3 linked regions of the Xenopus tropicalis genome follow. The protein of the gene in region 2 purifies or fractionates together with the protein of the main gene of each other region. This does not show direct contact. Links are inferred from orthologs where the notes say so. Each region holds a gene or a part of one and is shown on either strand. Other genes may lie near its edges.

Region 1 (3,654 bases), on a different chromosome or scaffold from region 2:
AAAGGCATAGCAACCAATCAGCAGGTAGCATTTACTGGTCAGTGATCATCTTATTGGTTGCTGCTCCTGGGCAGTGGGGTGGGGGGAGAATTTGAAGGCTAAAAGATAAGGGGAACATCCTTTTCAATATATTATCATCCTTGCTAATACAAGGCTGGGTGTTACCTTGATCAGTGGAACTAGTAATATCTTCCTGTTCTTTCCCTTTCCAGGCACAGCTGCAACCCGGTGTCTCTGTTTGAGGCAGAGGTGCAGAAGTACTGCCCTGATGACTTTGTAAACATAAAGGTACATAGATATTGTGTCTTGCATATGATACAAACTCTATCACCTGGTCCCTACCCACCCACCCTAATGAGAATTACAGCAAGCTGTCCTATTGATTCCAGCGGACCCTGGAGCGGGAGGTGCGACAGTGTCAGGCTCTCATAATATGGACTGATTGTGACAGAGAGGGAGAAAACATTGGCTTTGAGATCATCCATGTCTGCAAATCAGGTAAGCTGCTGTACAAGCAGGGCGAACTCTTAAAGGGGTGGTTCACTTTATTTTATTTGCCGCCTTCTTCCAACTCTTTGTCGCTTTCAAACGGGGATCACTGACCCCCTGGCAGCCAAAAACTATTGCTCTGTTTTACAGTTTTATTGTTACTTTTTAATCTATTCAGTCCCTCCCTATTCTCGGTGTTTGACTGGCCCACCAGGATACCCGGAAAACTCCCGGTGGGCCCAGTTGTCAGTGGGCCCTTCTGCTCACCCAGCCATTTGCCTTGTATGCCTATACCATGGCCGTTACTCAATTCTATATGAGAATAAATAGAAGAAATGGAGGAAAGGATAGATAATAGTATGTAAAAAGAAGTAATTCAGGGACTAAAGAAAGGGGGAGAGTGGGCCTAAGGTCTAAGGTTTTCTGGTGGGCCCTTGGCTCCCCAGTCCAACACTGCCTCTCCTATTAATATATCTCTATTAATATATTAATAATGTCTCTCATTCAAACCACTTCCTGGTTGCTAAGGCAATTTGGACCCTAGCAACCAGATAGCTGTTATAACTCCCAAGAGTTAACTCAAATGTGAACTGCACCTTGAAGGAGAACTCTAATAAACAGCCCCTTCCATCTTTCTCTGCATTAGAATGTATGAGCTCAGTGCAGGGTATAACTTGATGGGAATAAACATCTGTAGCTTTGGCTGCCATACAGTCCTGGAGCTGTCAGGTGTTTGTTTATGATGGGCCAGATAGACACAGTTGTGAGTTATTAGCTATATTTGGTGTTAAACACCCATACAGTGCCTGTGCTTAGTTGTGTCTCTCATTCTGCGCTAGTCAAGCCAAACTTGCAGGTTTTCCGGGCCCGGTTCTCCGAGATCACTCCTCGTTCCATCCGGATGGCTTGTGAGCACCTGGTACAACCTGACCAGAACATCAGCGACGCGGTAGATGTACGAATGGAGCTTGACCTGCGGATAGGTGAGAATCAGCCATCTGTTTCGTCCCTTATCACCCGTGAATGTATTCATTCTACTCTATTCTATTGTTTTATTGATTGTTAATGCAGGTGCTGCTTTCACAAGGTTCCAAACCCTCCGCCTTCAGAAGATGTTTCCCTCTGTGCTGTCCAATCAGCTCATCAGCTACGGCAGCTGCCAGTTTCCCACCTTGGGGTTCGTGGTGGAGAGATTTAAAGCCATCCAGGCTTTTATTCCTGAAACCTTCTACAAGATTAAAGGTGCTTACTCATGGGAGAGAATTATTCATGCTGCTCTCAATTCCATTAAGCTGGCCATACGCGCACCGATGATATGTTTCATGCGATATCCGGTGCGTGTATGGCAGCTTGATGAGGCGACCGTTATCGCAAAAGGGTGCAGATATCTGTCGACTTGTCGATCGGCCAGGTTAAAAGATTTTGATTCTATCTCCATATCTGACTATTCAGCCCTGAACGTCAGTGGAGGGTGGGAACAATCTTTCCTGCAACCATTGGTCGAAAATTGCTACGTGTATGGCCACCTTTAGTCATCTTGTACAGTCTCTAATAATGGTGTGCTTGCTAAAGTCAACAGCTGGTATTTTATCTGCCACTAGTTATATGACAATCCGTACCTTGGTAACCGGGTATCTGACCCATAGAGAATGGTCATGTGTGGGTCGACCCATGCCTGGCAAGTCACCTCTATTTATAGTCACTGAGCTGACCTGCCCCATCTCTGATGTTACAAAGGGGGCCGGGTGCATGCACCTGTAAATTGAGGCTGCTGGAGGCAGAAGCCAGGCGAGTAAGGTCATAGGCAGAGAGGGCAAAAGGGAGAGCATAGCCTGAACCACAATCTGGAAATCACATGCGTTTGTCAGTCCAATCCCACCTACTCAATAGAACGATACAACACCCTTCCTCATCTGGTGCAAATTTCTGTAGTAATCACGTATTACAATATTTACCAAGTCTGTAATGAACAGCACCAATGAGGAGAGTTTCTTTGGTAATAAAAGGCCTTTTTTCTATTGTGGCCAAATCCTGGAAGGTACAAGCAAAGTTTCAGGCCCCAACTGGCCTTTCAAACTTCAAAAAAGGCTGGTTGAGCCCTGAAACTTTGCTTGTACCTTCCAGGATTTGGCCACAATGGACCCACCTGTCAGTGCCACAGGTTTTGGCCCGGCCCGACATCATTGATAGAGAGTACTGTGGTTTAAATACAGCTAGAAACATGCAGACTGCCCAGTCCAATAACCCATCCTTGGCTTTATCACTATTCTAGTTTTCTTGGTTCTTTAGTGACTCATGAACACGAAGATGGACTGGTGGAGTTTAGCTGGAAACGGAACCGTCTGTTTAACCACACGGCTTGCCTGGTTCTCTATCAGATCTGCATGGAGGTACAGGATTGATACAGAGCTAATTATATTCAGCTTGAATTCATTAAAACTGATCCAAAACTGTATTGTGCTTGTAGGATCCTATGGCTACTGTGATGGAGGTGGGAAGTAAACCAAAGAGCAAGTGGAGACCTGTGGCTTTAGACACTGTGGTATGGGCTCTTTTGTATAAACCGCTGGACTTTCTCGAGCTGTTATGTGATATATTCAGTAATGTCTGCCAGTGGGTCTCATAGCTTCACATGATGTTATAGATTCAGCATAGACAGGCCCATGGCCATGTTGCTTATAAAGTAATCAGTTCTGTAGTGTTCTCACTCCCCTCTCTGTGCTCTGTAGGAGCTGGAAAAGCTGGCATCCCGCAAGCTGAAAATTGGAGCCAAGGAAACCATGAAGGTGGCAGAGAAGCTTTATACTCAAGGGTAAGTCTGTGTTATTAATACACCCCTGTATTTACTGAACCCCGTGGGTAAAAAGATTGGCAACAGAATTGTAGATCCTTTAATTCCCCATGTGTCCCCCTTGCCACCTATATTAATAGCTGTTATATATGTATCGTCTTTACTGCCCCTGCATGTTATAAAAAGACCAATTCTAAACAGCTTTTCAACTGGTCTTTATTTATTTTTTATAGTTTTTTTTAATAATTTGCCTTCTTCTTCCAACTCTTTCCAGCTTTCAAATGGGGGTCACTGACCCCGGCAGCCAAAAATCTATTGCTCCTCGAGGCTACAGTTTTATTGTTATTGTTACTTTTTATTTACTTATCTTTCTA
Region 2 (3,654 bases):
GTTTCGTCATACTTTCAAACCATGCCTTACATTTGAAGTGACTACAAAACAATGATGTAAACATAATTAAAAGGTGTACCAGTGTAATTGCAGAAACTTACATCTTCACCCCACAGAGTTGTTGAGACCACTTTACCAGATGAATCCATTAAATTAATGTTTCTCTTAGAAACTTCTCTGTTGTTAGATCTTATTGTGACCTTGGTTACCTCTTCAGCGTTTTTGCATATCCCTATGATATCTGTAGGTCAAATGTAAAAATGTTAGTATAAGAAAGCAACAGACAAGGAAGAAAATAATCCTAGTAATTAAGTCTATACAGACCTAATACAGTATCTTTATTCTTGCTTTCTAATTCACCAATGGGTACAAATTCAAACTGCACCATTGGGACATCAGCAGAGTCATCACAGGGAATAACAGACGTCTCACTGTTGAAAGTCATCTCATAGTCGTTCTTCACAGAGGTGTACTGCTTGTTAGCAATTTTTAGTGTGCCTTTGGAGAAGTAATACACCTAGGCAGATGGAGAATGCAAGGTCATAATAAAGTAGCAGAGAGTCTAAGTCTTTCACTTCTCAAGTAAGGGGGAAAAAACAAAGAAAATTACCTTGTTGACTTCAATAAGGGAAAAGAACTTGTCAGCTTGCTCATTGAAAGCTGTAGCTCGGATCTCACCCTGTAGAAAAATAAAGGCAGCAGTGAACTGACCTATATTGCAATGTCAGACTACAAAGATTTACTACATTGGAGCTCAACCTTAAAATGTTTTTATAGAGATGGCAAGGAAGTGAGAATTCCAGACAATACAGTGATGCCTGGTCGGCTCAGTGCAAGTCTCATTAACACTTGGCACATGATGAAAACTATAGTCTGGTGTTTCTCTTATTAGCTGGTATAACAGAATGACCATGTAACTTCTATTTACACACACTTGCATCCCATGTATGAAGATATTGTGCCTCGTTAATGACAATGTAGATGACTTACTAATTAGCTTAAGACAGCACGTGATGTGTGGGCTATGAAATAGTTAGTACCTAATTGATGACAAAGATGTCACCACTTGCATTCGCTGCCCAGGCTCCGAGATGACTCATCCACCCCCTCTTTACCCAGGGCAAGGAGAGCTAATTATTTGATAACAGATTTGTTCTTGCATCAGAGAAACAACATCTGCACAGAAAAACATTTTAGTCACTGCGTTCTTTTGCGAGTGACCAAGAATAGAAAGAATGACGAGTCCTGCCCTACTCAAATCATTAAGAAGGTTAGAAGGGCAAAACAAAAGCTAGCAGTCTGCCTCTGAAGCAGGGGAACATTCGCAGGCAGCTTTGGAAATTGAGAAAAGGAGCTGTAGCTGCCAATGCCTGAACTCACTCGTGAGAATATCCCTCCCTGCATCAAAACAAATTCTGGTCCGACTAGCACAGTTAAAATGCTGTAGTATAACTTGATAACTGAGAATTAAATAAACAGCTAGTTCCACTAGGGACACAGCAATGCGGTCTGAGTACTGACAGCGGATCTAATCTGCAAAGGGTAGAGATGAGCAAACGCGGCTTATTCGGCTTGGCCGAAATATTCACAAAATGTGAACGTGCAATTTTTTACATACATGACTTTTTCTTTACTTTTTTCTCACTTCAAATACAGTAAAGGCTATGGGCATTTTTCCCTGGAAATTTTTAGTTGCGACAAATCTTTGCAGCAAAAAATTGGCAACAGTGAAATGAGGAATTTCGCAGCAAATCCATGCATGGCCACAAAAATTTGCTTATTGATAAACTGAACTAAATTATACAAAGGTATGTGTATGAAGTGGAGGTTAAAGGGGTGGTTCACGTTTAAGTAACTATTAGTACATTTTGAATTGTCTTTTTCTTCAGACTCTTTTCAGCTTCATATTCAGCCCCTCTCCTATTAATTTTCAAGTTTCAAATTGAAACCACTGGCCATTTGCTAGGACATTTAAAACCTTAGCAAACAGAAATTGAATTGTTGAAATTCTAAATTGGAGAGTTGCTGAACTATAAGCTAAATAATTAACGCAGAAAATAAAGTCAAGACCAATTGCAAATCGTCATAGAATATCAAGCTCTACACCATACTATAAGTTAATTTTAAGTTGAACAACCCCTTTAAGTGTAGTTACTGACTATGCACGCAAAGATACTGCTTGATTGCAGAACAGAATAGCACTATATATTAATCATGAGTGGGCGTAAAAACAGCTATGCAAATGAAGGTTTTTATCTAAATTACCAAAAGTTGCTTTTTATTAAATCTGCAAAACAAATTTAGTATTATTGTTCTATTTAAGAATTATTTTTACCAGTTACAACCCCAAAAAATAATTTCTGTGGATTATTTTCGGTGTTAATTTTTTAAATTATGACTAGAGGTTCAAATTTATTTGATAAAAACTAAAATAATCACTGAAAAACAGCCTGTAAGAATTCTAATGGCTATAACCTTTCCAGTCTGATTTTGAAATGACATCTATGATATGGAAAAGGCTAAATCACTTTAGAAATCCATATCACATGAGAGAGTAAAAGAAACAAATTAGCACAGCCTGCTTACACTCTCATCCACCATCTCAATTGAAAATAGCTTCCCTTCCCCTCGGGAGTTGCTCCATGTGCGGATCTGACCTTTATTGGTAACTCTAGCACGAACAGTCCACCTTAAAAAGACAGAAATGTTAGTGTTTATTAGCAGTAAAATGACAATATTCTTAATCAGGGTTTAGACCCTTTTTATTTGCACTTTTTCATTTTTATGAACAGGGCAAGCCTCCAAATGAGCTTGGGCAATGAGACAGGCAAACAAAGGAGGCAGAAAGCTTGCTCAGGAAATGACTTGCTGGCAAGGTACTGTCTATGCAGAGAGTCAAGCGCTTTCCAGAGGCAGTAAGTGTGTTGTACCACAGGAAGCTTTTACAAACTCTAGCACAGCCAACAAATCAAATCAATTGCTTGCAGTACGCAAAAGATCCCTATTATCCCGTAGCATAATGCAGCCTCCTTGGAAAGAAAATTCAATACTTTAAACAAGGTTTACACTGAAACAACCATTGTGGAAATTGTCTAATGTGCAGATAATACCTCCTATTTTAATGTAATGCTAGGAAATAAATGGTCAGAGTGGGTCATGTGTTCCTAACTGCAATAATCTGTGCTAATGTACAGGGAACAAGGATAAGCATGAATATGAAACGTGTTTGCAAAGAAAAAAAATGAATAAAAGCAAAGTAGTTAACAGTGTAACAAATATATCTTCTAGCCTAGCTACAGTGCCAAGACTACATTGTTGCAAAATGATGTACACATGTTAATGGGTGTGGGTTAAATCAGGCCCACAAAAGAGTGAAGCTTCATTATTAAAAGTGTTTTATAGTATGAAATGGAACTGGTGAAATGACTCCAATATTTCATTGTACACAATTAATGCAATTGTCGGTTGGTAGACTTTTTAATTACAGTTCTTACTTAAAATGCCTGTGAAAATGTATATGCAAATTATTGTTAAGTACACAGGCTGAAGGACAGGAATACAAAGCAATGTGAAAAAAAGAACACATTTTTCCATATTCCAGATTAAATTGATTAAAAACATTCCTTTTCTGTAAAACAGATTATATGCAAAAAC
Region 3 (3,654 bases), on a different chromosome or scaffold from region 2:
CTTCCCTCGATACCGCGAAACTGCACGATTAAAGGCCAAGTAAATGGAAAGAATAAGAATACAGTAATTACTCAACTCATGTTTCAGGGAGAGTTATCTCTCTCTCTGTACAGGCTATGAGTAAACTTAGGGGGCTGTTCCTGCTAAATTGTGCTTAGTACAGGGGAATCCCTATGTGCCATAGTTTTATGGTATCTCTCTGTACAGGCTATGAGTAAACTTAGGAGGCTGTTCCTGCTAAATTGTGCTTAGTACAGGGGAATCCCTATGTGCCATAGTTTTATGGTATCTCTCTGTACAGGCTATGAGCAAACTTAGGGGGCTGTTCCTGCTGAATTGTGCTTAGTACAGGGGAATCCCTATGTGCCATAGTTTTATGGTATCTCTCTGTACAGGCTATGAGCAAACTTAGGGGGCTGTTCCTGCTGAATTGTGCTTAGTACAGGGGAATCCCTATGTGCCATAGTTTTATGGTATCTCTCTGTACAGGCTATGAGCAAACTTAGGGGGCTGTTCCTGCTGAATTGTGCTTAGTACAGGGGAATCCCTATGTGCCATAGTTTTATGGTATCTCTCTGTACAGGCTATGAGCAAACTTAGGGGGCTGTTCCTGCTGAATTGTGCTTAGTACAGGGGAATCCCTATGTGCCATAGTTTTATGGTATCTCTCTGTACAGGCTATAAGCAAACTTAGCGGGCTGTTCCTGCTGAATTGTGCTTAGTACAGGGGAATCCCTATGTGCCATAGTTTTATGGTATCTCTCTGTACAGGCTATGAGCAAACTTAGGGGGCTGTTCCTGCTGAATTGTGCTTAGTACAGGGGAATCCCTATGTGCCATAGTTTTATGGTATCTCTCTGTACAGGCTATGAGCAAACTTAGGGGGCTGTTCCTGCTGAATTGTGCTTAGTACAGGGGAATCCCTATGTGCCATAGTTTTATGGTATCTCTCTGTACAGGCTATGGGCAAACTTAGCGGGCTGTTCCTGCTGAATTGTGCTTAGTACAGGGGAATCCCTATGTGCCATAGTTTTATGGTATCTCTCTGTACAGGCTATGGGCAAACTTAGGGGGCTGTTCCTGCTGAATTGTGCTTAGTACAGGGGAATCCCTATGTGCCATAGTTTTATGGTATCTCTCTGTACAGGCTATGAGCAAACTTAGGAGGAGACAGTATCATATAACGGCTCAGTAGTCAATAGACAGACATCGGGCAGCTTTGGGCACAGGGAAACTGCGCAGAGGGACGGACAGGAGAAATCACTGCTGATAGAGAATAACAAACATTTACTTATCCGCAGGCAGAACTTGGCTGTAGTTCCGATTTTAATGGCTTTCCAGCTCATTTGCCACCGGCAGCAAACTGGCACTGTGGGTAAAATCTGCGCTCCCTACGCCTGCTCATGAGTCGGAACAACAGTTCATTAAGTAAAGTACACGCGCTCCCAAGCAGTTCACTGGGTACAGACTAAGCAGGAGCCCCAGGTACAGGGAAGAAAGCGACTTCTGAGTCGGAACAGAGACTGCGCTGTGAAGCAGATACTGGGGCTCATTGCATAAGGGGGGCAATTCCTATGCCTGTAGGCTCCCCCCTATCATAAATGATCTTCAGGTGAGATAGAAGTCATTTCCCAAATTCTATGGGGCAAAGTAATTAAGAACCAGCCAGGAGAGCACAGCACTGCAGTAAGGCAAAGCTGACAGATTGGAATTACATTAGGCAAATATTTATTTGGGTTTACTTCCCCTTTAAGCACAGTGTCATTTCTGCTTTGGTTACCCCTGTATATATGGAGAGGAGGGGGGTATCTGCCCTCACTTACTTCACTCCGTCGCGCTGGAAGGGCATTAAGTTGCTGCCGAGCTTGGAATCCACTTGAGATAAATCCACTTCCGGAATCTCCTCGCGAATGATGGTGGTTTTTCCAAACTGCGGCGCGAAGGCTTGGAGCACCGGCCTGGGGAGCGGCTCCACTTCCACTTGCTGAATGTTCCGCACACTCTCCACTATGGGGGGATTCAATATGATCAGCTGGGGGGGGCTTATTATAGAGAAATCACATGACCCATAGAGTGTGGCATTAAAGGGATATCACCATTATCATGACCATTAAGGGAGCCCAGCCTGAAGGCCAGTTAGGGGGGGATTTGGGGTGAGTGCTTATTTGTGCCCTGGGTACCCCTGGAACTATAGTGGGGTGACTGTTACCCCAATGTTTCTATATATCTGTAACCTTGTTATGGGCTAAGGGGGCCCAGCCTGAAGGCCAGTTAGGGGGGGATTTGGGGTGAGTGCTTATTTGTGCCCTGGGTACCCCTGGAACTATAGCAGGGTGACTGTTACCCCAATGTTTCTATATATCTGTAACCTTGTTATGGGCTAAGGGGGCCCAGCCTGAAGGCCAGTTAGGGGGGGATTTGGGGTGAGTGCTTATTTGTGCCCTGGGTACCCCTGGAACTATAGCAGAGTGACTGTTACCCCAATGTTTCTATATATCTGTAACCTTGTTATGGGCTAAGGGGGCCCAGCCTGAAGGCCAGTTAGGGGGGGATTTGGGGTGAGTGCTTATTTGTGCCCTGGGTACCCCTGGAACTATAGCGGGGTGACTGTTACCCCAATGTTTCTATATATCTGTAACCTTGTTATGGGCTAAGGGGGCCCAGCCTGAAGGCCAGTTAGGGGGGGATTTGGGGTGAGTGCTTATTTGTGCCCTGGGTACCCCTGGAACTATAGCGGGGTGACTGTTACCCCAATGTTTCTATATATCTGTAACCTTGTTATGGGCTAAGGGGGCCCAGCCTGAAGGCCAGTTAGGGGGGGATTTGGGGTGAGTGCTTATTTGTGCCCTGGGTACCCCTGGAACTATAGCGGGGTGACTGTTACCCCAATGTTTCTATATATCTGTAACCTTGTTATGGGCTAAGGGGGCCCAGCCTGAAGGCCAGTTAGGGGGGGATTTGGGGTGAGTTCTTATTTGTGCCCTGGGTACCCCTGGAACTATAGCAGGGTGACTGTTACCCCAATGTTTCTATATATTTGTAACCTTGTTATGGGCTAAGGGGGCCCAGCCTGAAGGCCAGTTAGGGGGGGATTTGGGGTGAGTGCTTATTTGTGCCCTGGGTACCCCTGGAACTATAGCGGGGTGACTGTTACCCCAATGTTTCTATATATCTGTAACCTTGTTATGGGCTAAGGGGGCCCAGCCTGAAGGCCAGTTAGGGGGGATTTGGGGTGAGTGCTTATTTGTGCCCTGGGTACCCCTGGAACTATAGCGGGGTGACTGTTACCCCAGTTTCAGTGCTCGGGGCGTTTATACAGAACAGGACATTACTTTTCCAGCCGTTACTGCATTTCGAGCTCTGAAAGGCCGGGGTCACCTGAAATTGCCGACCTCTTGCAAGGAAGAAAGGGTTAACACTAACAGGGGGTGGGATACGTATGGGGGAGAACAAAAGGAGGCTTTTATGGCTTTGATCTGCTTATGGGTGAAATGAAACAGTGGTCAGTAATTGCTGCAATTTGCCTGCTTATTACATTGGCCGCTATTCACAGCAGGGAGAGAAAGCCAATTAGGTTGCGCCTCTCAGTGCCAGCCTGGCATTATCTCCTGCAATGACCCCTATTTATCTGTGAGTGGGCGGGCGCGAGGCTCA

Evidence for each region.
Region 1: the proteins of rpa1 (region 2) and top3a purify together in Homo sapiens (affinity purification with mass spectrometry; 4 studies listed by BioGRID and IntAct, with this or other methods). This does not show direct contact. The link is inferred for Xenopus tropicalis from reciprocal best matches to the Homo sapiens genes RPA1 and TOP3A.
Region 3: the proteins of rpa1 (region 2) and smarcal1 purify together in Homo sapiens (affinity purification with mass spectrometry; 8 studies listed by BioGRID and IntAct, with this or other methods). This does not show direct contact. The link is inferred for Xenopus tropicalis from reciprocal best matches to the Homo sapiens genes RPA1 and SMARCAL1.

Annotation. Positions count from the first base shown.
Region 1 is NC_030685.2:15,949,329-15,952,982, forward strand, and holds part of top3a (DNA topoisomerase 3-alpha), read left to right. Parts: intron 1-212; coding exon 213-288; intron 289-389; coding exon 390-498; intron 499-1,328; coding exon 1,329-1,472; intron 1,473-1,560; coding exon 1,561-1,731; intron 1,732-2,778; coding exon 2,779-2,879; intron 2,880-2,956; coding exon 2,957-3,031; intron 3,032-3,218; coding exon 3,219-3,301; intron 3,302-3,654. UniProt on the Homo sapiens protein: Releases the supercoiling and torsional tension of DNA introduced during the DNA replication and transcription by transiently cleaving and rejoining one strand of the DNA duplex.
Region 2 is NC_030678.2:36,027,953-36,031,606, forward strand, and holds part of rpa1 (replication protein A 70 kDa DNA-binding subunit), read right to left. Parts: intron 2,690-3,654; coding exon 2,587-2,689; intron 680-2,586; coding exon 611-679; intron 518-610; coding exon 325-517; intron 242-324; coding exon 102-241; intron 1-101. UniProt on the Homo sapiens protein: As part of the heterotrimeric replication protein A complex (RPA/RP-A), binds and stabilizes single-stranded DNA intermediates that form during DNA replication or upon DNA stress.
Region 3 is NC_030685.2:86,339,253-86,342,906, forward strand, and holds part of smarcal1 (SWI/SNF-related matrix-associated actin-dependent regulator of chromatin subfamily A-like protein 1), read right to left. Parts: intron 2,008-3,654; coding exon 1,824-2,007; intron 21-1,823; coding exon 1-20. UniProt on the Homo sapiens protein: ATP-dependent annealing helicase that binds selectively to fork DNA relative to ssDNA or dsDNA and catalyzes the rewinding of the stably unwound DNA. Rewinds single-stranded DNA bubbles that are stably bound by replication protein A (RPA).